Tamandua tetradactyla: one gene and its partners. The protein of the gene in region 1 interacts with the protein of each later gene in a biochemical or structural test. Links are inferred from orthologs where the notes say so. Each region holds a gene or a part of one and is shown in the gene's direction. Other genes may lie near its edges.

Evidence for each region.
Region 2: the proteins of ARF1 (region 1) and CYTH2 are reported together in a solved structure, tested with the Homo sapiens proteins (3 studies listed by BioGRID and IntAct, with this or other methods). The link is inferred for Tamandua tetradactyla from reciprocal best matches to the Homo sapiens genes ARF1 and CYTH2.
Region 3: the proteins of ARF1 (region 1) and ARFGAP1 form a complex in vitro, tested with the Homo sapiens proteins (2 studies listed by BioGRID, with this or other methods). The link is inferred for Tamandua tetradactyla from reciprocal best matches to the Homo sapiens genes ARF1 and ARFGAP1.
Region 4: the proteins of ARF1 (region 1) and PLD2 form a complex in vitro, tested with the Homo sapiens proteins (2 studies listed by BioGRID). The link is inferred for Tamandua tetradactyla from reciprocal best matches to the Homo sapiens genes ARF1 and PLD2.

Annotation. Positions count from the first base shown.
Region 1 is NC_135346.1:63,009,826-63,016,991, reverse strand, and holds the start of ARF1 (ADP-ribosylation factor 1), read left to right. Parts: upstream 1-4,147; 5' UTR 4,148-4,279; intron 4,280-4,465; exon of another isoform or gene 4,466-4,657; intron 4,658-7,166. UniProt on the Homo sapiens protein: Small GTPase involved in protein trafficking between different compartments. Modulates vesicle budding and uncoating within the Golgi complex. In its GTP-bound form, triggers the recruitment of coatomer proteins to the Golgi membrane.
Region 2 is NC_135342.1:12,587,058-12,593,940, reverse strand, and holds the start of CYTH2 (cytohesin-2), read left to right. Parts: upstream 1-3,861; 5' UTR 3,862-3,987; coding exon 3,988-4,102; intron 4,103-4,415; coding exon 4,416-4,563; intron 4,564-4,648; coding exon 4,649-4,715; intron 4,716-5,755; coding exon 5,756-5,874; intron 5,875-6,152; coding exon 6,153-6,233; intron 6,234-6,664; coding exon 6,665-6,777; intron 6,778-6,883. UniProt on the Homo sapiens protein: Acts as a guanine-nucleotide exchange factor (GEF). Promotes guanine-nucleotide exchange on ARF1, ARF3 and ARF6. Activates ARF factors through replacement of GDP with GTP.
Region 3 is NC_135327.1:60,781,270-60,788,220, forward strand, and holds the start of ARFGAP1 (ADP-ribosylation factor GTPase-activating protein 1), read left to right. Parts: upstream 1-3,928; 5' UTR 3,929-4,074; intron 4,075-4,359; exon of another isoform or gene 4,360-4,667; intron 4,668-6,951. UniProt on the Homo sapiens protein: GTPase-activating protein (GAP) for the ADP ribosylation factor 1 (ARF1). Involved in membrane trafficking and /or vesicle transport.
Region 4 is NC_135332.1:60,581,458-60,588,741, reverse strand, and holds the start of PLD2 (phospholipase D2), read left to right. Parts: upstream 1-4,276; 5' UTR 4,277-4,373; intron 4,374-4,883; 5' UTR 4,884-4,884; coding exon 4,885-4,993; intron 4,994-5,082; coding exon 5,083-5,213; intron 5,214-5,315; coding exon 5,316-5,458; intron 5,459-5,872; coding exon 5,873-5,978; intron 5,979-6,070; coding exon 6,071-6,136; intron 6,137-6,280; coding exon 6,281-6,339; intron 6,340-6,479; coding exon 6,480-6,572; intron 6,573-6,670; coding exon 6,671-6,823; intron 6,824-7,284.

The DNA of each region.
Region 1 (7,166 bases):
TGGCTTCTCCGGATGTCCAAATGCAGCAGCAGCCTGTCTGCTGAGGTCCCCAACCTCCCCTCTGTGGCTTCTCTGTCAAGAGCCAGAGCCGGGAGACCCCAGCCAGGGACCACTCCAGCAGTCCAGTGAAGCCTGGGGACCCTTTTACTTTTATTTACTTACCCCTGAGCTTTTATTAATGCATAAAATAAATACCCTTTATTACAAAAACAAAAAAACAAAAAAACCCAGTACAGTTAGCAAAAGCTTTAAGCTTTGTGGTATAATAACTTTTGGGGGTGACAGATTTTTCAATATCTTGATGGAGGTGTGTTCACACAGATCAAAACTTATCAAATTGTACTCTCTAACTATGTACCGGCTTATTGTCTTACAATTATATCTCGGCAAAGCGGTAACAAAACAGAAAGAAAAACTAAAGCCTTGTGGAGAAAGGGGGGAAATCTGATCTAGTAATAAAGTCTTTGTCACTGACACCTTCAATAAGGAGAGCTGGCAACAGGCTGACAGCCTCCTTAATTTCAGCTTAGTGAAGAGCATAAACAATATTTTGAGATTCTTGCAACAGCTCTAATGTGACATGAAAATACCTGAGGTTTCTACCCGTTGCAAATCACAGGTCCTGCTTACCCTCCTGTTTTTGTGTGGTGCCTCCATTGGAAGTGGGAGGAAATGCCAAATGTCAGCCAGAGGTTAGTGAAAGAACGATGTGCTCTTCCCCACTCAAGTTCGTGGTCCCTGAGCTGCCTCGGGAGTGGCCAAAAATGGAGCAGACACAAGTCCTTGCCACCTGCAGTGGGCATTCCAGGGAAAAGCAGCGACAAAGCAGAAGAGAGGCATGTGGAGACCCCTGCAGACACCATCAAGGACGCCACCTTGCCTGGTGAAGGCCCACTGCAGGAGTCTGCAGGGGTTCTACCCTGGAACAGCATCCCAGGCAGAGGGAACAGCAAATGCAAAGGCCCAGAGGCAGGAGAGGCCCTGGCCTGTTCCTGGGAATTGAAAGGGGTCCATGAGCTGGACCAGGAGTGAGGAGACCATGGGTTGCACTGGGCATTCACCTTGGAGCCCTAGGGATGAACATAAGGGCAGGCCAGAGTGACCCTGGCTTTGGGGTCTGGTCCCAAGCACTTTCCCTGATGGGGGAATCGAGACAGGAGCAGACTTGTTTGTTAGGGGGAATCAGGTGATGCTAAAAGGGACTGGAGGTGAGAGTGGTCCCCTGAATCAGTTCTCTCCCATCTCCTGGAACTGGACAGTGGTCCTCATGAGCCTTTTAGCTACTGTGTTCTCCGTAGGGAAACCCATCTCCTCTCATGACCCAAGCTCCCCACATGGCACAAGCCAGTGAGGGTACAGGCAGGGCTGGCCCCAGGACCCAGGAAGGACAGGGCCATCTTGGAGTGGGTTGGAGACATGGTGTGGGTGTCGGGCTCTTGGAAAAGACTGAAGTCCAGCTCGCCAGTCATTTGGCCCCCTACTCCAGCCCCCATCTCCTCCTGACTCCCCAGAAGGAGGCAGAGTGGGCAGATGACCACTGGCTGGTTACCTTGGACAGCAGTGAGCAGTTCAAGTAGTTTCAGCCTGCAGCAGCACTGAAGTCAATGACCTCTGAGCTCCCCCTTCCAGAGGCTGTCGGGGTGGAGGGCAGTGGAAAGGGCAAAGGTGGGGGCTGCACAAGACTAGGGGTCATGTTGAAGGGTGGGGCTAAATATTAACCGTGTGACCTTGGGTGTGTTTCCTGACCTCCCTGAGCCTGGATCCACACACAAGAGCTTGCATGGCGAGCTTGCAGGACTTATGTCCATCCCTAGGTTAGGGCTAGGGTCCTTTAGTATAGATAGGATCACCTCCTCTTCCCACCTCCCTCCAGCTAACCTGGCCCACCAGCTTGGTGTCACTGCATGGGGAAGCCACTCTTCCGTTCAGGCCGGTTCTGTCTTGTCCTTCCAGCCCACCTTTCCCAGGACATTTTCCTGTTTGACCCTGGTCATTCGAGCATCCCCGAGGGGAAGAGTCCAATCCTGGGTCCCAGCAAGTCCCTGGCCAGTGGTTGGGTTGAAGATGAAGACCGGAGCTGGGGGATTCCCAGCCTCATGGTGGAATGTGGGGTTTGCCCTCCACCTCCAAGCCTCACCCTCCTGTCATCTCACATGGCCCCAGCTGGCCTGAGACTATGCGCCCCCTCCTGGCCTAAGCTGGGCGGGCACCCCTCTAAGGCCCACTTCCCGGGGCTTCTTTACTACCTCTCTGGCCCAAAGACACCCTTACCCTAGGGGGACAAAACTAGTAGGATAGACTCAGGAGGAATTAAATTTCTTACCCTGGGGTGGGTCCACAGGAATTCATTTTATTTTTTAAATAACTCGCTTCCTTCCTGTGTATGACAGTTTCCACACAAAAATTTTTTTTTGCCATTTTAAAGAAAGGGGAGGAGAGCCTTCGTCCACAACCAGGGTCGCTGGACCCTCCACTGTCTCCTCTCCACTCTCTTCTGTGGTTTCCTTAGCTCTAAAGGGGTTGTAATCAGAGAGGCGTCTGGTCAGGGACCTGCTCCCTGGGAGTGGGGAGTTCACATCACCAGAAGGTACTATGGCCCTCCACACCCCTCCCTGGAGACTCACATCCCTATGGGACGCTCTGCATGAGCACTGTGGGGTATCTGGGGGTGGGACAGAGACTCCTAAACGTAGCAGTGGGATGGAGGTGACTGCAGGGGGAGATGTGGGGGCAGGGGCAGAGGTGTGGCCTGAGTTTGGTTCTTAGAAATGACCAGATCTGGGGGTTACAACTGGGCTGGAGGGCAGGACGGGCAGAGGCCTGTTCACCAGCGTCGAGCGTTTGGGTTGTCTTGGTCCCAGGAGTAAGATTCTTAGTGGGGACAGGAAGGCACAGGGTCATCACTCTCTGAGGTGATCACAGCCCGGCAGGTGCAGCCTCAGGGCAGGGCTGGTGCGATGTCATCATCCCACAGTCAGTGGGTCCTGGCCCTGCCCAAGAGGAGTGGGCGTGCAATGAGTGCACAGAGGGTTGGGAAGCCTCCTGCCAGGCCCTGTGAAACCCTCAGGGCCTGGCTTTGATGCCTCTTCCAGGCAGGCCCCTGGCCTGCTGCTTGAATAGAGGTGATTGCAGCAGGGCACAAATGATGACCCCGTTTTCTGCCTCTTTGAACACTTGGGCACGGGGCTGCAAAGCTCTCCCAGTAATTTCACCAAAACCTCCGGAATGGGAGATACATCTCACAACAGCACAGGGTGGCAGGAGGAGAGAGCCCAGGCAGTACAAAAACAAGTAAGGAGCACTGGGGATAGGCGAGAGGCCCAAGTGAGTTTCCAAAGGGAGGAACAGAGCCAAGCCCTCATGCCTTGGAAACGCGGGGGAGAGCCCGCTCTCGTCCCCTCTTCCCTCTGGATCAGCCCAGGGAGGCTTCTCGGAAAAGGCTCCTCCTTTCCCCACCTTCACACATCGTGCCCTCTCCTGTCACACGGATCACAGTTCCAAGGCCACACCCCAGTAGAGGAACCCTGGCCGTCACTATTCCACGCTCGGAACCCTGTATCCCCTGACTCAGTAAATCATTTACGTTTTTATCATACTGTCAGCTCCAGGGTGCAGGCACATGTCTGTTGCGGTCACCGGCTGTACCGTGGGCACAAAGGCCGGGGAGGGGCAAGTAGGCGCCCAGTGCTGGAACCTGCGGGCGCCCTGGAAACCCCCTTTCCCGCTTGTGGCCACCTGTTGGTGGCAACGGTTTCCACAATACCCGGCCTGGCTCCACGACCGCGCGGCCTTGTCTCCGGCCCGCCACGGGCGCCCGGACCCTGAAGAGGGCGGAGAAAGAGCCGCGGCGCGGAGATGAGCCCGGAATCCCGGCTACCGGACGGCGACCGACCCGGGTCGGAGGAGGGGGCGCGCTATGGCACCTCGGCCCCGAGGTCCACATCCGTAAATGCGCCGCGCGGCCTCAGCACCGAACCTTCAAGGGAAATGCAGACGGAGCGCCCCCGGGTGTAGGTCCGCGCGGGGGGGGAGGCGGAGCACGCAGGACACGGGGCGTGGCGACGCACCCTCGACCCCGCCCCCTGAGTTACGCATGCGCGCCGCGAGCGGGGGAATGGGCGGGGCATACCATATCCCCGCCCCCAATTACCCGGCGTCACCCGCGGCACCAGGCACTGACGTGGCCGCCGTCAGAGCCGCCATCTTGTGGGAGCGAAACCAACGCCTGGCTCGGAGCAGCAGCACCAGCAACAGCAGCAGCCGCCGCGGCCGCCGAGGGGTGAGGGGCAGTGCGGCGGGAGGGCGCGCGAGCAGCTGGGCTGGCCCTGGGGCTCGTGCGTGAGTCCCTGTCCACCCGCGGCGGCGGCGGCGGCGGCGGGACGGGAGGTGGCAAGGCTGAGGCCACTGGGCGGGCGGCGCGGAGCCGGGGCTGGCGCGGAGGGCTCGTCGGGGCCTCCTGAGTCTCCCTCGCTGGCCTCACATCCTGCTAAAGGCAGCAGAGCGTCTTCGCCCGCAGCCGTAGCGGCCTCTCCCTCGCTGGTCCCGAAATCCGGAAATCCGGGCTTTCGCTCTTGGCCTCCTAGGGATGTGGGCTTTTCCTTTAAAAAGCCTTCATTTCCTGCTCCTTTCGAGCCCTCTCCACTTGCGCAGCCGAAAGGTTTGCTTTCTCCTCTGTTCAGAACTGCTCGTTCGGGCGGGAGTCACTGTCGGTAACTGGCGAAGGGAAAGGAAGCCCGAGCCGGAGCCTTTGAGTCATTTGGCTGTGGGAGGGCGGAGGAGGAAGCGGGGTACGTAGGGTTCGAAGTAGGGGGTGTCTCCCACAGGGCGGGTGAACGTTTAGTGAGCTTCCTCCAAGCACCCTCGGGTGCAAACCTCTGAAAAGGGAATTTTGCAAATCTCACTCCCAGGATCAAGAAACCGAGGCTCGGAACAGCTCCGTGACTCGGTCAAGGTCACAAATCTAGGGTTTGAACCCAGGCCTCCTGACTCCAGTTCCTGTTTGCTCTGAAAGTGGGAGTCGGATCTGGAGTTGGCCTGGGTGCTGCTGGGGGAGGGGAGGAATGGCCTGATTGGAGCTGCTTGAGGGCAGCTGCGTTCCCTTGTATTTCCTGATTGAATGCTTGGGTCTTGAAGTCTGTGGACTTCAAGAGAAACCCAGAGTTCCGTCTGAAGATATAATTCGGGTCTATGAACACTTCATAGGAACACCAAGCTTAAAGAACTGCCTTCTAAGTCTGCACTCAAGGCTACTGTGGCCTTTAGAGAACTGATTTATCCTTACTTTAATTCCAGGATTTCCTCCTTGAATGTCACTGGGAATAGATAAGACTCTTTCTTTCCAAGCTGGTGAATTTTTAACCCACATATAAAACAATTTGTTCATAGGATCTAAGCAGTCTTCCTAGCAGAGGTGACTTAATGCTTTCTTGTTGCACAATTCGGGTTGTTCTGGCATTTAGAACGTAATTTTGTTAATAAGGCTTAATTATAAAGTATTTAAACTATTAAGTAATTAATTCAAACAGCACTTCTGAGCTAGGTGGCACTCTCCCCATTTCATCAAAGGGAAAAGGAAGTTGCTGTTTAAATGAACTGAGCAGAATTGCACAAGAACTCATAGCAGGAAATGAAAGGAATTCAGAAGCTTTGGGGTAGTCTCAGAAGTTACTGTTGAGCTGTGTGGTTGGTGTCACTCCTGATGTTGAGAGTTGTCATTTGTAGTTGTGTTTTCAGAACTGGCGGTCAGCAGTTTTTTCTGCTTGCTGTTTTTATCAGAGGTTCTGATGTTTCCTGCAGTATATCTGAAGGAGTGTAAGCTACCACTCGGTCCTTCTGCCTTGATGTCTTCTAGTATTTAACAAAGTGTTACTGCATGTATGGTGTTACCAGTTAATTTGAGTTTTCAGGAATACTGCTGTAAGTAGCTAGAACTGTACGAACTTGAAACCTGTAGCATTAGCTGGGTCGAAAACTAAGAGGAATTAAATGGTTTAAATGCTCATCACAAATCTGGCCGCATTGGTAGAAGTGTATTGTCTTATTAGCATTGAGGTTTTCTGGTGACCTCACATTTGAGGGCATAGGTGGGTCTTGCCCATGAACCTGGGGTAGGGTCCCAAATCCTGGGTGTGCCGCATCATAGGGTGTTGTCTTCAGGAACGTCTCAGTCAAAATAAGTTAGTATCACCCAACCTTAGAAGTATGCTGTTTCTTGTGAGGAGTGTCTGCTGATGTTCAGGATTGCTCTTCCAAACATATTTAAAATGGGTGGTTTGGATAATGGCTGGCTTACATTCTGCCAACTGAAAGGAAGTTAGTAGAAAGCATAGAACTAGTTTTGTGGTCCTTACTGGTCTAGCTTTTAAAAATCACATGTTCTAAGTATTCACTTTACTTCTTGCAAAATATGAAGGGGGTGCTTAGACATCTTCAGCTGCTAATGTCTGTACCAGACTAATTAATGTAAGAGCAGATTGGCTTAGAAAAAGGAGGTACACCCTGGCTTTTTTGCTTTCTGTAAAATTTTTAAATGGCTCATCAGCTGTTAAGGTGCTCTCCAGAGTCAGATGGCCATAGGAGTAAGACTAATCAGGGTAAAAAGTCTGCAAGTTCATATTATAGTATGTTAATTTGATTTGAGTGCGTTTAATCCATTTCTTAGATTTTTCAAATTAATTGTTACCTTGATCTGTGTTAAAATCTGTTTTAAAATCTATGTTAAAATCACAGGTCAGGCTCCTAAAGCTTTGTTTGCACACACCTTCCTGAGGGTTGTGATCGTTTCGCTGTGGAAATGACCAGACCTCAGTATTTGGGGCTTGCCATATTATTCACTGACTGCCCCTGTTCCCACTGTCCCTAATGCAGGCATTCTCCCCTTTGACCTTTTCACTTTAGAATTATTACAAGTAGAAGGGAATAAAATGCTGATGTGTCAGAGGAAGTTGGGAGAGAAACATGAACATTCCTTTCTCTTGGGATTTTAAAATTAAATGAGAACTTACCTTTTTTGAACTGTATCTGCTCCCCATTGACATAGATGTGGCTTCCCACATCATCTGCATTCATTTTAAAAAGAAGATTTTGACCTAATGGTGAGTTGGGTGTGTAACCCTTCCTACTGGAAAGTAAAGGATGGTGAGTGTGAGGGTGGGTGGGGGGTAGGG
Region 2 (6,883 bases), on another chromosome or scaffold:
ACGAGATGGAGAGATGGTGCTCTGTTCTGGGATGGGGGCAGATGGTTCCCCAAGGCCGACAGCCCCTTGGGTAAATTATTATCTAGGTAGACCCTGCCATGCCTGGTGGATTCATCATGGATATACTGGACCTTCATCCCTCTGTGTTCCATGCTTCCATCTGAGACTCCTTTATGAGCCTGAGTCTCAACAGATCAGAGGAATCCAGAATTCTGGACCACTCAAGAGGCAAAGACTAGTAGTTCTAGATTCCTCTGGCTGGCTGTCCCAGGTTGTTGAACAGTCAAGAATCAGTGGTATTGACTACCTCTGGGGGAGGAACTTAACAGTTCTCAAACAGCAACAGGGAACAAGAGTTTGTAGGTCTGAATTGACCTAAAACTCAAGGAACTGTTGTTTCTAGACTCAACCAAATCATGTGTTCTCCAGCACCCAAGGAGAGAAGGCTATGGAATGCCCCAAGTAGTCAAGACTGTCTTGAGTGATGAGAGACAATGACTGAATATCTGGACTGTAAGTCAAGACCTGTGGTTCCAGAAAGCCCAAGAGATGAGATTCTGTGAGTCTAGCTTGATCAGAGAGGGAAGCACTGGTGATTCACAACCAGGTTTGACCTAGAGAGTCAAACCACTCCAGAAATTCAAGAGTTATGTTTCTAAAATGCACAAAGCAATGGAGAGTCTGTGGGTCTGGAAGTACTGAAATGATAGATTGGCAGTTTTTGATATTAGTTAAACTCCAAACCACTGACTGGCCAACATCCAACCAAAAGGATAATCACTGCTTCGGAATGACTCAGAGTTTGTTTTTAAAGTATCATTCTAGATTGCCCAAAGGAATGTGGATTCTGCAGGTCCTATTGATCACACAGTCAAGGAAGGAGTGGTGATTTTGATATACTGGTTCTGGTTTGCCCAGTGGTATTGAGAATCTCAATGATTCTAGATTGTTAACTGATAGAGCAAACTTCTTTGTGGTTCTGTAATGCCAAAAGGAATCGAGGCTTCAGGGATCTGGAGTTGCCCATTACCAGAGGCCTAGAAATTCTGATCACCTCCAGATGGAGTGCTTGGTAGTTCTTGGAGGTGGGCCCAGGAATTGCTAAGCAGAATTTCTGGGCTGTCCAAGAAGATGAGAGCCCAGGTGAAACCTTGTAGGTAGCAGGGCTGATTAACGAGTAAGGGAAGGGGGAGACACAAGGCTGTTGAGTCTAGAAAGCTCTGGAAACCTACACCTAGTGATGTATATCTATTTCTTAAAGATGTTATACATATATGTATTATATATATATATGATATATATTTCCCCTCATTCCTACAACAAGGTTAGAAATTGAGCATGAGCTAATTGGAACCGAGTCCTTACAAGGATCTGGGAGGCTTTGCTGTAAATCTCAACTTAGCACCAACTTACTGTGTGACCTAGGGCAAATAACTCCCCTCCACATCAGTTTCCCCATCTGTAAAACAGGGCATTGAAACTTGACATTCTCCAAGGACCCTTCCAGCAGGATGGCTTCTCATCTTACTGAAGGTTGTGGTGGGGGTGAGAGTCTCCCCAGCCCTGGAACGCTGAGATGGGAGATACTCATGGAGACTGGCTCTGAACTTGGTATCTAAGTCACAGGGCAGACGGCAGGCGAGGGGTATGATGTGGGCTGTGGTCCAGGGCCAAAATCAACACTTCCCCGGTCCAGCTTGCTGGGTGGGGAGGGGCTGGGGAAGGAGAAAGGGGTAGCTCTGATGCCAGCGCTCTTCCCACTGTGGGGGAAGCCTGTGTTTTAGGGGGAGATCTGTCCCTCAGATTAAAGAACTGGGAGACTTGGTGGGTGTGTCTGTGAATGTTTCCGGGGCACGGGTCCTCAGGCTTGCCCTTCTGCCCATGTTCCCATCTACCTGAGTGCCCCGGAGGCTTGGAGCCAGCCACAGAGGGAGCCAGGGCCAGTGAGAAGGGCACCTCGCACCCCTGTGTCCCAGGACTGAAGACAGGCACTGTCATTGCCTGTCAGCCTGCTTACGTGTTGCCTCAACCCAGGCCCCAACTTCTGGCCTCCCCAACCCCCTCTCATCCTTCGGTAATAACCGGATGGGATTAATTAGTGGGCTGCTCTCTCCCAGCCCAGCGTGTCTGAGGTAGGGAGGGGCACAACGGAAACACAGAGGTGGGCAAGGGTATTAAGATGGTAGTGAAGGGAGGGGGTGTGTCTGTTGGGAAAGAGAGAAGGGGGCAGGGCTGGTACGACCGGGGTCTCCACTGGGGGTGTGGGGGGGCAAGGTCTGAGCCTCTCAGAAAGGTCAGCGAAGGGATTAAGAGGCTCCGTGTCTAATCCGACAGCTTAACCAAGCCCTGGCCCTGAATCCGACCCCACTTGCCCAGCCCAGGGGCGACCAATGAGGGCGATGCTCAGACAGCACCTCAGCCCCAGTTCAGCAGGGCTCAGCTTCCCCACCGGGCCCGGACGTTGCACCGGCTTTCCCAGCAAGGTATGGGAAGGAGAGGCTGGGGAAGGGAGGTGGAACCGTCTCAGAGGAAGGAAAGGACTCGGAGGGAGGAAGGATGCTGAGAAAAGGGGTGTTTTCTTACGGGGGAGGATGCTAAGGGGAAGGGTTTGGAGGAGGATGCTAAACTGGGGGGGGAGGAGTTTAAGAGGACGCATGGAGCATTGAGGGGAGGGGAGAGGGGGAGAGCCTGAGGAGCAGAAGGGGCCAGGAAGGCGCAGCCTGTAGCCTCCTATTGTCTCAGTCTCCAGGACAGATCCCCAATAGCAGAGCATTTAGGAGAAAGAGCTGATGACTACGCAGGAGGGCGTAAAATAAATAAATAAATAAAGAGGGTGTGGAAAGAGGAGGGGCCTGAGAGGAGAAAGGCCATAAGGAAGGTGAGCCAAGCGGCACCCGGTTGCATGGCAACCGCTGAGGTCAAAAGCAAGCCTAGTCTGCTAGGAGGTGTGGCTCAAAGGAACAACCGACAGCTGTGGCCCCACCCCTTGGCAACAGACCTAACAAAAGTACCACCCCAACCACCCCCCCACCAACAATTCATTACTAGAGGCGGGGCATGGTTGAACAAGTCTTGTGTCCAGAGCCCGAGCGCAGGCGCACTTCTCTAGGTTCCCGCACATTACCACCTCCATGCAACTCATTTCCAAGGCTTCTCATTGGTGGGCACTCCTGCAAAGAGCATTCTTTTGCTCCGGAGGCGGGGCCTGGCGCCCTGACCGCGCTCCGATTGGCCCCACCGACCGTCTACCCCCAGCCCGACATTCCTATCTCAGCTCCTCATGCGCCCATTGGTGCTGGAGGACGGTCCTTCGGTGTCGGGGGCGGGGCAAACGAGAGGCCACGCCGTGGATTGGACAGTGTCAAAACGAGGGGCGGTCCCTACCGGCGGGGCGGTTGGGAGGCGAAGGGAGAGTCTTTTCAGCGCTGAGGACTGGCGCTGAGGAGGCGGCGGTGGCTCCCGGGGCGTTTGAGCGGGCTCACCCGAGCCCGCGGGCCAACGAGGATCCCGGTCCGACCGGCGGCACCGCCCCGGACTCCCCGCGGGCCTTCCTAGCCGCCATGGAGGACGGTGTCTATGGTAGGTCGGGGAGGGGCGGGGCCGGCCGGGAGCGGATGGGGCGTCTGGTCCCAAGCGTTCCGCGGCGGGTGTCCCCCACAGCCCCCGTCCGGCGTGCGCCGCCCCAACTGCGCGGCCCCGTCGTCGCCCCGCTTTTGTGGAGTGCGGGACGGGCTTCCGGCGAAGCCCGAGAGCGAAGCCTTCCAGGCCATTGTTTGGGCTGAGCCTGTTTCCGGTGGCGGCGGGAGGGGGCGGGATGGAGCGGGGAGGCGAGGCCGGTCGAGCCCGGTGCCTGCCGGGAGCGGGGCGGGGAGGAACCTTCGGGGCTTCGCAGGGCCCGCGGAGGCGGGGGCGGGGACCCCCAATGCCCCGCCCCCCGGTCCCAACCCCTACAGCCTGTCACCAGCTGGCCCCGCCTTAGCTATTCCCATGGACCCGGGAGTCCGGCTGCCCGGCCCCATCTTCGCTCAGGACCGGAGAGCCCGGGCCCCCGCCACTTCGCCAGTAATGGAGTCAGAAAACCAAGGCCTCAGCCCCCTCCCAAGTAATGGACCTGGAAGTTCGGGCTCCCGGTCCCCCTCTCTCTCAGACCCAGGAGCCCGGAGTCCTCTCCTTCCCCAGCACTTCCTTCCCTAGATGGAAGAACTCAGCCTCCAGCCCCTTCCTCCTTCAGACACCAGGCATCCCAGCCTCCCAGCCTGCCTTTCCTCAGACACAGGAGTCAGCACCCTCATTCGTATTCTCCCCCAGGACCTAGGGAGTCCTGCCTGCCCCGAGCTCCATCCTTCCCCCAGATTGTAAGAATCCAGGTCCTGGAGCCCCGAGACCTGATCTCTGCCCTTGACTTCTGCCTGTAGAACCCCCAGACCTGACTCCAGAGGAACGGATGGAGCTGGAGAACATCCGACGGCGGAAGCAGGAGCTGTTGGTGGAGATCCAGCGCCTGCGGGAAGAGCTTAGCGAAGCCATGAGCGAGGTGGAGGGTCTGGAGGCCAATGAGGGCAGGTGAGGGCTGGGACTGGGGCTGTGGGGGCCTGGGCTAGAACTGCCCAGGTACTGACCCGCCACCCCCTACCCTCTGCCCCTGCAGTAAGACCTTGCAGCGGAACCGGAAGATGGCAATGGGCAGGAAGAAGTTCAATATGGACCCTAAGAAGGTGCTTTGGGACCTTGGGAGCTGGGATCCATTTGGGGGTTCTGGCACCAGCCTGTGGAAGTGTGATGGTTACAGACAGGTTTACTGTGGGTGGTTACACACTGGATCCTAATCCCTGGATTCACGTATTCATTTGTTCGTTTGTTTATTCTGTAAACCGTAACCAAATGGTCCAGCCTCCTTGCCTTTGCTTGGGTTGTATCCCTGCCTATAAGGGCCTTTTCTCCTTTCTATTCATATTTCTGAACCCACTTTTGGTATCACCTTAGATCCTGAGAGGAGCTTGAGTCTGGTAGGGAACATGGACAGGACCATGCACAAAGGGTTAACCAGTACTGTGACAGAGGGAAGTACCAGAGCTGCAGACACAAGAAGGGAGCCTGGTAGAGTTAGGGAGGGCTTCCCTGAGGAAGTGACATTCCAGGCAGTTTTGACTGATGGTTAAATGTTCGTGGGGTGAAGGAAGAATGTTGCTTCAGTCCATCATTCATTCAGCACCCATATCTCAAGGCCTCCTATGGGCTGTCTCTGCCCTAGGCGGTGTCAGAGATCTCCCCAGTTGTTAGACTCTGCCTGACCCTCAGGAAGCTCTTGACACAGCACCCACACCCAGAGCAGTGGATCACGAGAATGGAGATCCTCATGGTGCAGGAAGGGCCAGAGAAGCCCCAGCCCAGCCTGGGGCCTGGCCTTCAGAACCCTTAACTGTCTGCTAGCAGTTTTCCCTTTATTATTCTTGCCGAAAACAATTGTAGTTTGTCCCAGTCATTCAAGAAGCATGTATTGGGTATCTGGTTTTTTCGCTTGGCCCTGGTTTTAGTGCTGGAATTAACCAGCAAAGGCAGAGGGAATAGCAGATGCAAAGGCCACGAGGGCAGGGAGGTGATGGAAGGACTGGGAGGAGCCTGAAGGGGAAACCTGGCCCTTCCCTGTTTGGGGGAGGGGGAAGGGGTTCCTGGGGGTGTTAACAATGGGCAGGTGGGCTCCACCACCACCAGGGTGGTCTAGCCCCAGCCCTGAGACCCAGCTCCTACCTTTCAGGGCATCCAGTTCTTGGTGGAGAATGAACTTCTGCAGAATACACCCGAGGAGATCGCCCGCTTCTTGTACAAAGGCGAGGGACTGAACAAGACGGCCATTGGGGACTACCTGGGGGAGAGGTGAGAGCACCTGCGGGTCCTCCCTGTCCCCCATGCCCCCAGCTCCTGCCCTCATGCAGTCAAACTAGGGTTCTCAGCCCATGACCCTGCCATGAGCATGTGCTGAGCACTGCCCCCACCCCCAGCCCCCTGGTGCCAGGTCTGCAATGGGGGCCGGGCAGACACTGCCCACACTGTTTGGAAGCAGCCACTATCTCCCAGGGCTTTGCTTCAGGTCTCCTCCCACACCAACCTCCCCAAACTCCTTTCTGTTTGTAAATCTGTCCCTGTCCTCCTAGGGAAGAGCTGAACCTGGCGGTGCTCCACGCCTTTGTGGATCTGCATGAATTCACCGACCTCAATCTGGTACAAGCCCTTAGGTGAGGGCGAGGGGTTGGGAGGGCAGGTGTGCATCTATTGGGACTTTCTGAGTTGCAAATTAATTACTCATGTAATGACTACTTAAGGTGCTCAGAGGGTCAGGAAGTTAACTTTAGCTCCTGGTTATGCTTCCCACTGTGTTGGCACTGCTCTCTGCAGACCCTCCTCCCACATGAAAACAGAAGTTTCTAGCAACCATTAGACCTACAGAGCAACCTCAGCAGAAAAATAGAAGCAGTTGCTATATAAGTCCTTCAAAATTCTCAGAGGTGGTGCTCATTAGTCAGATAATCACATATCTATCCTTGAAACAACTGTTGAGTCCAGGAGAGATTTGGAGTTCTTATTGGCCAGTTCCAAACACAGGTACTGACCGTGGGGGAGGGGGTCCTGCCAGCCCGCCATCCATACCCGGCCCCTCCTCTTACAGGCAGTTTCTATGGAGCTTCCGCCTCCCTGGAGAGGCCCAGAAAATCGACCGGATGATGGAGGCCTTCGCCCAGAGATACTGCCTGTGCAACCCTGGGGTTTTCCAGTCCACAGGTGGGAGCCCGGGCTCCAGGGTCTGAGGGAGGAAGGGCTGGGGGCCTGGCTCCTCCCCTAACTGGGTCAGAGAGGAGGGGCTGGGGGCCTGGCTCCTCCCCTAACT
Region 3 (6,951 bases), on another chromosome or scaffold:
CTCCAGGAAGCCCACCAGGACTGCTCCAGCCCATGGCTCCCACTCTCTAAACATGTGAAGCCTACACAGCATCAACCACTGGACTCAAACTGAAATCTTACTGTGTGGACATGCCTGGCCACCTGGCCACATTGCCTCAGCCTCCATTCCAGTGTGTGCCAACGGCTTCTTGCTGCAAGGGCCAGCAACACCCTCCAGAGGGCTCAGCCCGCCACAGGACAAGCTGGGAGGGCTGGGAAGTTAGGCCCCCAGGGCAGCTCTCCGCACCATGGAGGGATGCAGGGAGGCTGCTGGCGAAGCTGCCTGCAAGGCACGGCCTCAACTTGTCCTCAGCCGCTGGGGAGGGTGCACTGTGATGGTGTGGCGGGCGGCGGGTTTGCAACACGTGACCTCTGCCGGAGGACCCAAGACCGCCAATCCCCGCCCAGTCCCGGCCTCGGAGTTCCCTCCATGATGCATCGTCGCTCCACCAGTCCTGCTGCCGCTCCAGCACTCTCGGGTTTTGGTGGGCTGTGTGGTGTGACTGCCCGGGTGGCCGTGCACAGGTGCTTAGTTTTACTCTTAGCCAGGCCAGCTGCCTGCAAAGTTTCCTCCACCTACACCCACTGTCTCATTACTTGATGCCTGAGAAAAGCCAGAAGGTGCAAAGGGAAGCCCGAGCTTTGCTTCAAGCTTGTTAACTGGGGTGATGGATGTCAGTTGATGAAGCATTTTTCTCCTCTGTATTCTATGGTGATGCTAAAACCTCACCTACATACTCAGCCATCCAAGTTTATCTCCTATTTTCTTACAAGAGAATCCAGCCCCCCCCCCAATTACTGCTATTTATTCATGAGGTCTGTCGGCATTGGGAGAAGTAGAAGAAAAAATGGCATTCATTTATGTGAGTGTTATTTCTGCAGTGGAAGAGTTCGGCAGTGCTTCTTGTGAAGAAGTGGATGGCTGTCTTGTCATTCTGGTGTGTGGGGTTCAGGACCTTGGGAAGTCAACATCTTACAGATATCTGTTCAGCCTGTTGTTAGACAGCATTTCCTGTGTTGACTATATGGACTGTGACCTTGGGCAGACAGAATTTACCCTACTGGTTGCATTTTTCCACTTAATGTTACAGAACCAATTCTGGGACCCTTTCACCCACCAGAGAACACCACAGAACATGGTATATTTTAGGAAACCTGCTTGTAAAGAAAACTCTGAAAATTATATTGATAACATAAAATATGTGTTCAGCTCTTAAAAGAATCTCCTCTAATCATCAACATCGTGGATAGGTGACAGACAATGGGCTTTCACTCCTCATTGATCTCATTTAATTGCTGTCTCCCAGCCATGTCATTCAGTTCAGTTCTGCCCAGAGCAGACACATGCCCAGCCTCATCCCCAGCTATGTGGATGACATTGACACTTGTACACAGAAAGCAAGTGCAAAGTCAGAAATAGAGTTTCCAGCTTCCAGAAGCAGAAAACTTTGAATTTGCTAATGAAGAAGAAGAGAGTCCAGTTGTGTTTACTGGATACAAACTGATGTGTGTTGAATCAGGGTTTGCATTTAGAAAAACTCCATGAAACAGAGAATTACATGACAGAGTTCTTCTTGACTTGGCAGTACTGGGGTTCCTTGGCCAGCTGCAGCCCCCAAATTCAAGATCAGGATATCCTTTCCATGGTCTGACACCATGTCAGGTCCCTTTCAGTGCCGTGGTGCTCCAGGTCAGCCACGCCGATGTTGCTCCTGCCCCATCAAGCACACTGTAACCGCCCGCCAGTTGGGCCTGCATAGGATAGGGGACCACATTGGAGGCTATGCACATGCTCCCGTCTTGACAGACGCCTCTCTATGACTATAGGCTTTGGAACATGTGGAGGGATTGACATGGAGAAGAGACTTCACCACATCCTCACCCCCATGCCCCAGAAGTGCTGAGAGATGCGAACTGCCTGCTGGTCGGGGCCACTTCCAGTCTCCAGTGTGTCTTCAGGGGCCAGAAAAGGCCTGAAAGGATGATACCTGACATCACAACAGATTATAATTATTCACTTCCTGGAGCAAGAGAGAAAATTGGAGTGAGAGAGCCTGAGCAAATACATGAAGAGAGAAAACATTCAAAACCTAAAAATTTCTATAGAAAAATAAACTGATACTGATGCTTTTAATAAGGGAAGAAATATGTCTGCCAGAAAGCTTGATTTACTTTTCTCAAACCTAACATCAGCCGAATTGATGGTTTTTATAGAAAGGAATGGTGTACTTATCCAGCAAACAGGATTTTCTGTACAATTCACAAATATGTTTAATGTACATATTTTAAAATTTCTTTCATCTTCAGGCTACATGATCTAGAATTTTACTGTAGTCTTCTATATTGTTAACCATACTTGCTGTTTTATTTTCTGAAGAGAAAAAGCAGCAGGGAAAAAATTATACACCATTAAAATGGGAAGGAATATGGTTGATTCTTCAAAAAGTTCTTCAAGGATCTTGTAGTTAGAATCAGGAGAAAAATAGAGAAATTGAAGCTGCAAAAATGTACCAGGGAGGAAGGCAGGATGAAGCAAAAGCTTAAGAACATGGATTTACAAAATAATGTTAAGTGAAAGAAGCCATCATGAAAAAGAACACATGGCACAATTCCATTTATATGAAGTTCTAGAACAACACAAACTCTAAGATATGGGGTCTTGTGCTGGTTGCCCCTGCAGGGTGATTAATGAAAGGGTTCTATAATTCATTGTGGTGATGGTTACATGGGAATACGCATTTGTCAAAACTCATGTAGCTGAACATTTTACTTATCTGTAAATTATACTTCAATAAACATGTTACTTGATCACTTCAAAAGTTACATAGATTAATGAAGAAAATGCAGACAAAACAAGAAACCAAAGATTAAAAACAAAGCTAAAAATAACTTGCAATTACGCTGTCCCATCCCCAGATAATAATTTTAAATAGTTGTCTCTCAATAGGCATACTTTCACATGTCTGGGCTCCGACCATTCATACTACTTTGTAGCCTACTTGAAAAACCCATATTATACATTATGCTTGCTGCATCCCTTCCAGCTACCAATCCAGAACCACTCCCTGTCTTTCCCCACATTAGACTGTCCCAGTGGGCTCCCATGTCCTGTGACTTTCTGTTGGGGTCAGCCAATAGGATGCCCAGCAGGAGATCAGAGGGTGGGAGGAAAGAGAGAGGCCAGCACATTTACTCTCCTGGTTTTGCCCTGCTAGGTCACCTTGGGCTGGCTGTGGACCTCAACCAATGAGCACATCTCTGAGGCGCCCACCCTCTCCCTCCCCTAGCCTCTGGAACCTGGAGAGACTAACATTTTGCTGCCCCATGTGCACAATTCCTTGCAGCTTCCTTAAGCCCACTCACACCTTTATACAACGCGGCCTTGAATTATCCTAATTTGAGCGAGCCATCGGTTTCCCGTTCAGATTCTGACATGCACTAAGTACATCTTTCCACGTCAGCCATTTTTAAATGGCTGGTATTCCTGGCGAACCTCTATTGCTCTAACTACTACCCTCTTGTTGGGCCTTTTCCCCTGGAATAAACTATTCAATGGCTCAGTTCTGATCTGCACAACAGTCTTTGAAACCAGCCTTGTGGCATCCGGCTGGAGGTTGGAGTTTATCAGCTGCTGAGTGAAAGGAAACATGAAACGATGCCCAGACGTAGAACACCTGAGTCCCGGCCCGGGTCCAGGGCTCGGTCCAGCGCAGGCCACTTCCCAGTCTCCCCATGCCCGCCTGTCAGACTCGGAACCTGCCCAGGGCCAGCGCTAGGCCCACGCCCGCGGGGTAGATGCGCGTCGCCATGGGGACCGGCAGAGACTTCCGGCATCGTTGGCACCGAGGCGGAAGTCCCGCCTCCGGCCGGCCCGCCTCCGGTGTTCCGTGAAGCCTTGCGAAGCGCAACGTAGCCGGAAGCGGGTGGCGGCCGGGTGGGCAAGAGGCGCGCGGCGTCGGTGCAGCTCCGCGGCACGGCGCGACCTCCACCCGGCTCGACCTTCACCCGGCCCGAGCCCGCAGGGATCGATCCGGTGGTGCGGTCCACCCGCCTGGTAAGCGCGTGCCTCAGACCGCCGACCCCTTGCCCACGGGGACCCCCTCGCATCCTCCCCCTTCCCGAGCCCCCGCCCCGCGCTCGCCCCGGGTCTGCCTCCTTCTGGCTCTGAGGCTGCGGGCCCCTCCGGCCCCCTACCTCCCGGCCTGTTGCCTACGGGGACTCCCTCCTCCGACCCTCCCGCGGACGCTTTCTGCCAGGCCGCCCCCACCCGGGTCCCTATCCCCACCGCTCGGCACGCCTCCGGCCTTCCACACACACCCTCCCCGAGCTTGCTTCCCCTCCAGGGTCTGATGTCTTCCGCTAGTTCCGGGGACCCCTGCCCACCCCCACCCCCTCCGTGGAGTGAGAACCGGTGGGCCGGGTCTGCCCCTTTCTTGGTTCCTGGGGACCCCGGACCTGGCCTGGACACGGAATCCAGTCGGGCCCCATCTCAAGTCCTCAATGGGCTGGTTGCTGGTCAAGCCAAGAAGTAAGGTACCAAGAAGGCCACTTTAATCAGGAATGGCCGCTTCAGCTTGGTGTCTGTGATGTTCTCCTCCTTACCCTCTCATGTGGGTGATCACCTTGGGGGAGGAAGAAGAATCTGAGGTGTTTATTTTTTTTTAGTTTCTGTGGGTTTGAAGTAACTATGCTTCGTGAATCTTGAGTTAAACAGTTTAAGGACAGACTCCTGATTCTGCTCATTTAATGCAGACCTAACATTCCTTGCCACGCTGTTTATTGTGGCATTGAGAATGGGGCTCTAATAATGTGCCAGAGGATATGTACCTCTTAGCTTTCTGTGACTATATCCCAGGCAGTTCAGAAATAATCTGTTCCTTAGAATGAGAAAGATCTGTTGTTCTTAGACATTGAGACTTTGAGTGTATCAGAACATATTTTTACATTCTTGGTTTTAAGTGTTAAAATGAGTTCTTAGATTATATTTCAGGATAAACTCATGTTTAGATTTAGAAAGTTAGGCAGATTTTATTTCCATGTTATTAAAGTTAATTCAGAAGAAAGCTAAAAGGCTCTGAAATATCAAAGTTTGGTCACATAGAAGAGCTCCTTTTAAATCAACCAGTAGTTCTTCTCTGCCTTGTAAACACAACTGGAAATTCAGAGCATTTTTCACCATGGGTTTGACTGTTCTGAAAACCACTTGCTTGCCTGAAGGCAAAGACTGGTGCTTTGGAAAGAGCGCTGGTCTCATACTGGAGCCCTGGGCTGGTCCAGTCTATGCAGCCACCTCATCTTGATGGGTCCTGGTTTCTCTGTGGGCACGTGGGCCTCCAGCCCCGGATGGCCCCACAAGGGCTCCTGGGTGGCTGTGGGAGACAAGGGTACATGGGGGCTCCTCTCCCACTGTGCTTGCCCGTTTGCACCTTTGGTGCTGTACGTGAGTAGCTGCTCAGTGTGGCGATGGCACTGTGTGAGACTCGGGCCCAGTGGTGCAGCTGGCAGGCATCACGGTGCCTTTGAATGTCTGTCCTCACTGTCCTCACGCACTTCTGAGCTCAGTAGACCATCAGAACAACATGGAGAGGGGCAAGGTGGAGAGGAGCCCTGAGGAAACTTTTGATTTTGTTTTGGTCAATTATGGAAAACAAGTGTTTAATCCTAAATTCAAATAGTTTGAGTGTACGCTAATGGACATCAAGGGCCGAGAGTGTCCAGATTTGTAAGGTTTGGTCGTGTGCAGCAGTCTGATTCCCGTGAGTCAGTGCCCCCATTCTGACAACTAAGAGTAGAAAGGAAACACAGGATGGCGAGTCTTCTGTGTTTTCAAGCTGTGCCTCCACATAACGCTCCAACTATACACTGTTAATAGAAAAGCCAGCTGCCAACAGTCATCTTGAGTGTAAGAGTGAAGCAGCAAGGAGACGACATGGAGGCATCCTCTGCAGCGCATGTGTGCAAGGTCTCCATCACCTGGATGCGCTCACAGAGTGTGTGCTGCATGCAGCATGAGTCAGAGGGAGCAGGCCACAGGTTCCACACTCAGACAAGAGGCGTCCATGCAGCTTCAGGCTGGTAGGGTCTAGGAGCCTCACCCAGGTCCCTGTCTCCTGCTCAGATCTTCTCCAGCCGGGTCAGCCATGGCTTACGCAGGATTTGGGCAGTTAGCTTACACCCGGCACACTGCACCCCCTCTCCCTTCTTTCTGGCTTTAAATCTGTCATTTTTCTGATTTTCCTGCTCACGAATTCAAATGGGACACAAGTTGAAGTTAACTTTCCTAAAACTCTTAGGTCTGTGAAGAGATAAATAGCTCTTCTTCTCAGCCTGAACTGTGTTGCGGTCCTCTGAGTCTCTCTGAGCTGATGGCAGTCTGGTGATGTCCAGGCTCCCTGCCTTGCCCTTCTGTGCTGGCTGCTCAGCCGCCATCTCCATCTCTCAGGAGAAAGGTGACCCCACAGAGGACCAACCTGCCGTGCTTCCAGCACACCTGGCCTCTCACACCTGGCGCACGACACTGGCATAGCCATGGCACAGCCAGGAAGTCTCAGTGCTGTGGGGGGAGATGTAGACTGCACAGGGACTTCCATTGATTTGAAGGGTTTCAGGCCAGGTCTCTATGCAACCCGTTTAGGCATGAAATCCAGTTTAGCGGTCAATCTGCATTTTTTTTAAATGCAGTTTTATTGAGATATATTCACACACCACACAAAGCATCTGAAGTTTATGTTCACTGGCTCATGGTATCATCACATAGTTGTATATACAACCCCATAATCAATTACTGGGAAACTTTACCACTGAAAAGATAGTTTTTTATAAATTGTGCAGTCATAGTATATGATACTTAAGCAAAATAAACATCAGCAGTTGCATTTCATTCTTAATAATTGCATTGCCCCCTGGCCTGGGAGACCCAGACTGCTTCCAG
Region 4 (7,284 bases), on another chromosome or scaffold:
AAATGGCCAGTAAGCACACAGAAAGATGGTCAACATTATTATCATCAGAGAAATGTAAATACAACCACAATGACAAAGCACTTCACATCTATTAGAATAGCTAACAATTGAAAAGACTGACAATATCAAGTGTCAGTGATGCTGTAGAGCAACTGGAACTTTCATACCTTATTATGGAAGTATAAAATGAAACAATCGAAAAGCTTTGAGAGCAGCACACACAGAAGCTAAGGGAAGACAAAGAAGTTCAGAAAGAAAGCCAAAGACAATGCAGCCAGAAACTAAAAACAAAAGAAACCCAAGACAAAAGAACCAGCACATGCCACATGTGAATCCCATGATCACCAGCTTGTCTTAAGGAAGAAGGGATCATCTTGAGGATACCTTGATTTGAACATTTTCACAGCCTGAAAACGGTTAGCTTGTAAACTATTTAATCCACATTGTTAAAAGTCAGCCCATTAAAAAAAAAATTTAAAAAAGTCAGCCCATTTCTGGTCTACTGCATTTCAGAAACTATAGCTAACTAAAAACAGATATCAACACACAAATATCAGCAGTGTTTCCATACATTATAATGAGCAATCTGAGGAGGAAATCAAGAAAAAATTTCCATTAACAATAGCAGTTAAAAGAATCAGATATCTAGGAATAAATTTAACAAAGGATGTAAAGGACCTATAAAACATTGCTCAAGGAAGACCTAAATAAATGGAAGGACATTCCGTGTTCATGGATTGGAAGACTAAATATTGTGAAGAAGTCAATTCTACCCAAACTGATTTACAAATTCAACACAATCTCAATCAAAATTCCAAAACCCAACTTTGCAGAAATGGAAAAGCCAATCATCAAATTTATTTGGAAGGACAAGGGGCCCCAAATAGGCAAAAACATCTTGAGAAGGAAGAACAAAGTTGGAGGACTCATACTTTCTGACTTTAAAGCATATTACAAAGCTACAGTGGTCAAAACAGCATAAAGATAGATATATTGATACCACCATAAAGATAGATATATTGATCAATGGAATCAAATTGAGAGTTCAGAGATAGATCCTCACATCTATGGTCAATTGATTTTTTAGAAGGCTGCCAAATCCACTCAACTGGGACAAATGGTCTATTCAACAAATGGTGCTGGGAGAACTGGATATCCATATTCAAAAGAGTGAAAAAGGATCCCTATCTGACACCTTATAAAAAAAAGTAACTCAAAACGGATTAAAAAAAGCCTAAATAAAAGAACTAGGACATAAAACTCCTAGAAGAAATTGTAGGGAAACATCCTCAAGAGCTTGTGGTAGGAGGTGGTTTCTTAGACTTTACACTCAAAGCACAATCAACAAAAGAAGAAATAGACAAATTGGGCCTCCTCAAAATTAAATACTTTTGTGCTTAAAGGACTTCATCAAGAAAATGAAAAGGCAGCCTACTCAATGGGAAAAAATATTTTGAAATCATATATGTGATATGGGTTTAATAGCTAGAATATATAAAGAAATCCCACCATTCAACAACAAAAAGACAAACATCCCAATTTAAAAAGGGGCAAAAGACTCGTATAGAAAATTTTTCGAAGAGGAACTACAAATGGCTATAAAGCACATGAAAAGATGTTTAATTCACTAGCTATTAGTGAAATGCAAATCAAAATCACAGTGAGATATCAACTATAATGGCCACTATCAAAAACACAGAAAAACACAAGTGTTGGAGAGGATGTGAAGAAATAGGAACACTCATTCACTGCTGGTGAGGATGTTAAATGGTGCAACTGTGGAAGATAGTTTGGCAGTTCCTCAGGAAGCTAAATGTAGAATTGCCAAATAATCTGGAGAGTCTGCTACTTAGGTATATCCTCAAAAGAACTGAAAGCAGAAGAACTAAAACAGACATGTGCACACCTATTTTCACAGCGGTATTATTCATAATTGCCAAAAGATGAAAAGAGCCTGTCCATCACCTGATGAAAAATAAAATGTGGTATATATGTACAATGGAATATTAATCAGCTGTAAGAAGGAATGAAGTCCTGATGCATGAAACAACATGGATGAAGCTTAAAGACATTCTTTTGAGTGAAATAAGCCAGACACAAAAGGACAAATATTGTATGATCTTACTAATATGAACTAATTAAAATGAACCAACTCTAGGAGTTAAAATCTAGAGTATAGGTTACCAGGAGATAGAATTATGGATAGAGATTGGGGAGCCAATGCTTAATTTGTATAGAATTTTTAATAAGGTTGATTGTAAATATTTGGAAATAGATAAAGGAGATGCTGGCACATTACCATGAGTGTAATTAACAGCGCTGAATTATGAGTGTGTTCACAGTCGAAAGGGGAAGTTTAGGATTGTGTATGTCACGAGAAGGAAAGCTAGAGAAAAACCATGGGACTATATAACATACTGAATCGTGTTGTAGACAATGACTGTGGTTAGTTGTACAAATGTAAGAATGGACTCACATGAATTAGAAACAAATGTACTTCACTATTATAAGGTGTTAATAATAGGGTGGTATCTGGGAAAAATACAACTAATTAAAACTATAGACTAGAATTATGTTCTTTCATAAATTGTAGCAAAGGTACTATACCAATAAAAAGTGTCAAAAATGGTGGGGGAGTTATAAGAGGTATGGGATTTTTCATTCTGGAGCAATCAGAATGTTCTTTAATTGATTGTGGTGATGAAGGCACAGCTCTGTGATTACACTGAGTCATTAATTGTACACTTTGGATGAATTGTATGGTGTGTGAATAAAACTGTCTTAAACATTGGGCAACAGTGGCTCAGTGACAGAGTTCTCGCCTGCCATGCCAGAGACCTGGGTTCGATTCCCAGTGCCTGCCCATGTAAAAAAAAAAAAAAAAACTGTTTTAAATATTTTTTTAAATGATAAAGGCTAAAAGTCAGGAGAACATCATCTTTAAAGTACTGAAAAGGAAAAAACTGTCAAACCACAAACCTATGCCCAATGAAAATATCCTATAGTGAACGAAATAAAGATATATTCATAAAAATAAAATTCAAGACAATTTATTACCAGCAAATCTGCCCAACAAAGAAAAAATTTTTGATCAAATTCTTCAGACTAAAGAGAAATGAGACAAATGAGAACTCAGATTTCAGGAAGAAGTGCAATTCCTCAGAAACACGGTAATAATAAAAGATACATTTTCCTCTTCTACTTTTCTAAATACCTGTGACTGTTTACAGCAAAAAAAAAAGTGCATTTAGTAGTTTGTATATATAAATGCAATAATGTAAAAACTATAGCTTGAAAGAGTGATGTTAAACTAACTCTCCAGTTCCAAGATTCTTTTGGGGGGCGGTGGGGGACCGGCCCCGCATGGTCCGGGAATTGATTGCGGATCTCCTGCATAAAAGGCGAGCATTCTACCACTGAACCATCCGTGCACCCTCCAGTGGCAAGATTCGTGCCCAAAAAACAAACAAACAAAAAAACCCACAATCATTTTGGAAAGCAGTCTGGCAGTTTCTTATACACATTACTAGGACCCAGCAACTCCACTCCTAGCTGTTTACCCAAGAGAAATAAAAATGCAAATTGATACAAAAACTTGTAAAGAAGCTTTATTCATAATTGCCAAAACCAAAATCTAAATATCCTTCAAAAAGAGAGAAAAATTCACCTATCCAATCCATCCATCCATCCATCCATCCATCCATCTAATCGTCTTTTAGGACCTGAGGATTTCCCTGCTTGCCCCCAGACTATAAATTGCAGGAGAGCAGGTTCCCTCGTACTCCGTCCCACCTGAAGCAGGTGCGCAAGTTGGGCGAATGAATGAACGCAAGCATACATTTGTAGCCACCATCCCTTCGGCCTTGTATAGTCCCCTCATTCCTTCCACCGACTTCGCTGGCTGGACTAGGCCGGACCCGGTCCGCAGCTGGCTGGGGAAGGGGACCCGGCAGACCCGCCTCGCCCGCGGGCTGAGGAGAGCCCGGCGCCCGAGCAGTGAGCAGTGTGCGCAGCGCGGAGTCCCACCCGGCGGCGGCAAGGTCCGCTGGGACGGACGACGCGGGATGGACCGACAGACTGGTGGACAGCCCCGACAGCCGGACGCACCCGGCCGAGCATCCAGCCCCACCCGGCCCAGGGCGACCCCCCGACCCAGGGCTACGCGCAGCACGGCGGGGCGGGCCGAGGGCGGCGGGGGCGGGACAGGACAGACGAGAATCCCGCGGAGGTGAGGCCGGGGACCGTCCCGCCCCCGAAGGCAGACCCTGAGCCCCGGCCCCGCCCCGGCCGCCGGGGTGGAGGCTCCGGCTCAGAGCTCCGCGCTGCTCCCCACAGCACGCCAACCCGTGCGGGCGTCGCCTTCGGCTTCCAGGGTGAGAGGACCGGGGTGGGATTGCCTTCCGAAATCTTGGGTCCCGGAAATCGGGCGGGGACCGGGATGGGCTCGGCTGCGGGGCCTCCTGACTCAGCCCCCACTCTCAGATTTCGGGGTTTCCCTCCCCGGTTGCGGGCGCGTAACTTCCTCACTCCCGCCCGGACCCCCTCTCGCAGCTGGCTGGGCCCGACTCTGGCCCCGGCGGCCCCAGGCCCCTCTCGCTACCCTAGGTCCCTCCTCCCAGCTTCTGCTCTGTCCCGTCCGGACCTGGCTGGGGGCCCCTCGGTGCCCTAGTTACGGGACAGGGGCGGGGCGGAGGGATTCGGGATGAAGGACTACGGCAGAGGATGGAAGTTAGAGGGGAGTCTGCGGAACTTTGCAGACCCTTGGGCGGTGATTACAGGTTGTGGTCTAGGTGGGTGGAGGAGAGGGCCTGTGGGAGCTGGAGATCCCTGGGTTTGGGATACTTGAGGCAGGCCACCTCCCTGATACCTCCTGGTATTCCTAGGATGATGGCGACCCCGGGGAGCCCATTCTACAGTGGGGGTGACCTGGACTCAAGCCAGTTGCAGATGGAGCCCGATGAGGTGGACACTCTGAGGGAGGGCGAGGACCCAGGTACTCAGGAATGAAGACCTTCAGGGAAAGGAGGGCCAGGGGACTGTGGCTTCCTGGGATCTGCACTCCTCTGCTTTCTTTCCTCCTAGCTGACCGGATGCACCCCTTTCTGGCCATCTATGACCTTCAGCCTCTGAAAATGCACCCCTTGGTGTTTGCCTCTGGAGTCCCTGTCACAGCCCAGGTGGTGGGCACTGAAAGATACACCAGTGGCTCCAAGGTGCCTGGGCTGGTACCAGGGTGGTGGGTAGAGGGAGGGGTGGCCAGAGTGGAGGGCTGGGACCTGACCAGGGCCGGTCGACCCTGTTCCTCACTCCCCCAGGTGGGAACCTGCACTCTATATTCTGTCCGTTTGACTCATGGAAACTTCACCTGGACAACCAAAAAGAAGTTTCGCCATTTCCAGGAGCTGCACCGGGACCTCCTGCGACACAAAGTCTTGATGAGTCTGCTCCCTCTGGCTCGGTGAGAGGGAAGGAGCTGTTTCCTGTGAAGGGCAGGTGCCCCTCACTCTGGCAGCATGGACTACCCCAGCCCTCTTCTCTCCTTTCTTCCTCTTTCACCCCCAGATGCTTTCCTTCCCCTTAACTCTGGCCACTGGTCCCCCTCCGCTAACGTTGATGGCTGGGAAAACTTCCCTGCCCAGCTCTCCATGGTTCTGTGCCAGTATCTCAACTGGGCTGGATGCCCGAAATGCCCTTGGCAGCTTCCCCCCTTCCCTTGTCTCCATTCCCGGGGCAGGGTGGGGGTTGGGGGTGTGCTCCCTTCTGCCAGTCTCTAGGCCTCTTGCCCTCCCCAAAGGTCCCACCTTCAATACTCCAGAGATCCAGGCACCCAGCCTCCCAACTCTTACCTGTCCCTCCCCCATCTCTTCCACAGCTTTGCCGTTGCCTATTCTCCAGCCCGAGAGGCAGCCAACAGGGAGATGCCCTCTTTACCCCGAGTGGGTCCCGAGGGTTCCACCAGACATGCAGCTAGCAAGCAGGTGCGAATGGACACCAGGGCCTCTGGGAAGGTTTGGCATATAAATGGCTCTGGGCCCATCTGTCTTTCTCTCTCCCCTCATCCCCACTCCAGAAATACCTGGAGAATTATCTCAACTGCCTCCTGGCCATGTCTTTCTACCGCAACTACCATGCTATGGTAAGGTTCAAGAGCTGGATGCTTGGGTCCTTTGAGAAGGAGCAGTATAATCAGACCTCCAAGGGAGCAGAGGGCCAGAGTTGCTTGGGGCTGAGAGACTGAAAGTTTGGGGTCTCTTCTCTGAGCCTTTGTTTCCCTCTGCAGACGGAGTTCCTAGAAGTCAGTCAGCTCTCCTTTATTCCAGATCTTGGCTCCAAAGGCCTGTGAGTGTCTGATACCCTTCACCCGGCCATCTGCAAGATCTCTTTAGATCTCTCCCTGACTTGCGAATGGAAAAGACAGTGCGGGACGGGCTGAGGTTCTGGATTCCTCATCAAGCATCTCTTCCTGATTTTCCCCACAGGGAGGGGGTGATCCGGAAGCGCTCAGGGGGCCACCGGGTCCCTGGCCTCACTTGCTGTGGCCGAGACCAAGTTTGTTATCGCTGGTCCAAGAGGTGAGAGCTAGGGTAGAGCAGCCGGGCAGGGTGGGGGGTGGGGGTGAGGAGGGAGATCCTGAAGGCAGGGAGGAACGGTTGGAGCCCTTCCGCTCCAGGTGGCTGGTGGTGAAGGACTCCTTCCTGCTGTACATGTGCCTCGAGACCGGCGCCATCTCGTTTGTTCAACTCTTTGACCCTGGCTTCGAGGTGCAGGTGGGGAAGAGGAGCACAGAGGCACGGTATGGGGTCCGGATCGACACCTCCCACAGGTAAGACTTTTCTGAGGAGAGGAGAGCCAGCCCTAGGGCCCCGAGGGCTGATGAGGGGGAGAGACCTTGAAAAAAGAGGAAGGAATTTCCATCCTCCTTGATCTGGCCATGATTTTGAAACAGGCTGCTTAGCCCAGCTGGATGCCTGGGGCTGCTCTTCGAGTCTGGGGCTAGAGAAAGGGGGTTGAAAATAAGGAGCCCAGGGGAAGGGCTCTTGATATAAAAGAAAAGGAATTCCATTCATTCTGTTATTCTTCATTCAGCAAACCTGAGTGCCTGGTACAGCACCAGGTGCTGGGAACCCAGCTGCAAATGAGGCAAATATATGCCCTGTCACTGTAGAGGTGTGAGTTAGGGATTCAGGGAGCAAGTGGGAAAGAGGTGCTAGCCCCGCTGGGATGGTCTGTGTTGTGGCTGTGGTGTGGTCTCTGGTGTGGAGGGGGAGGACTGGTGGTCCAGCT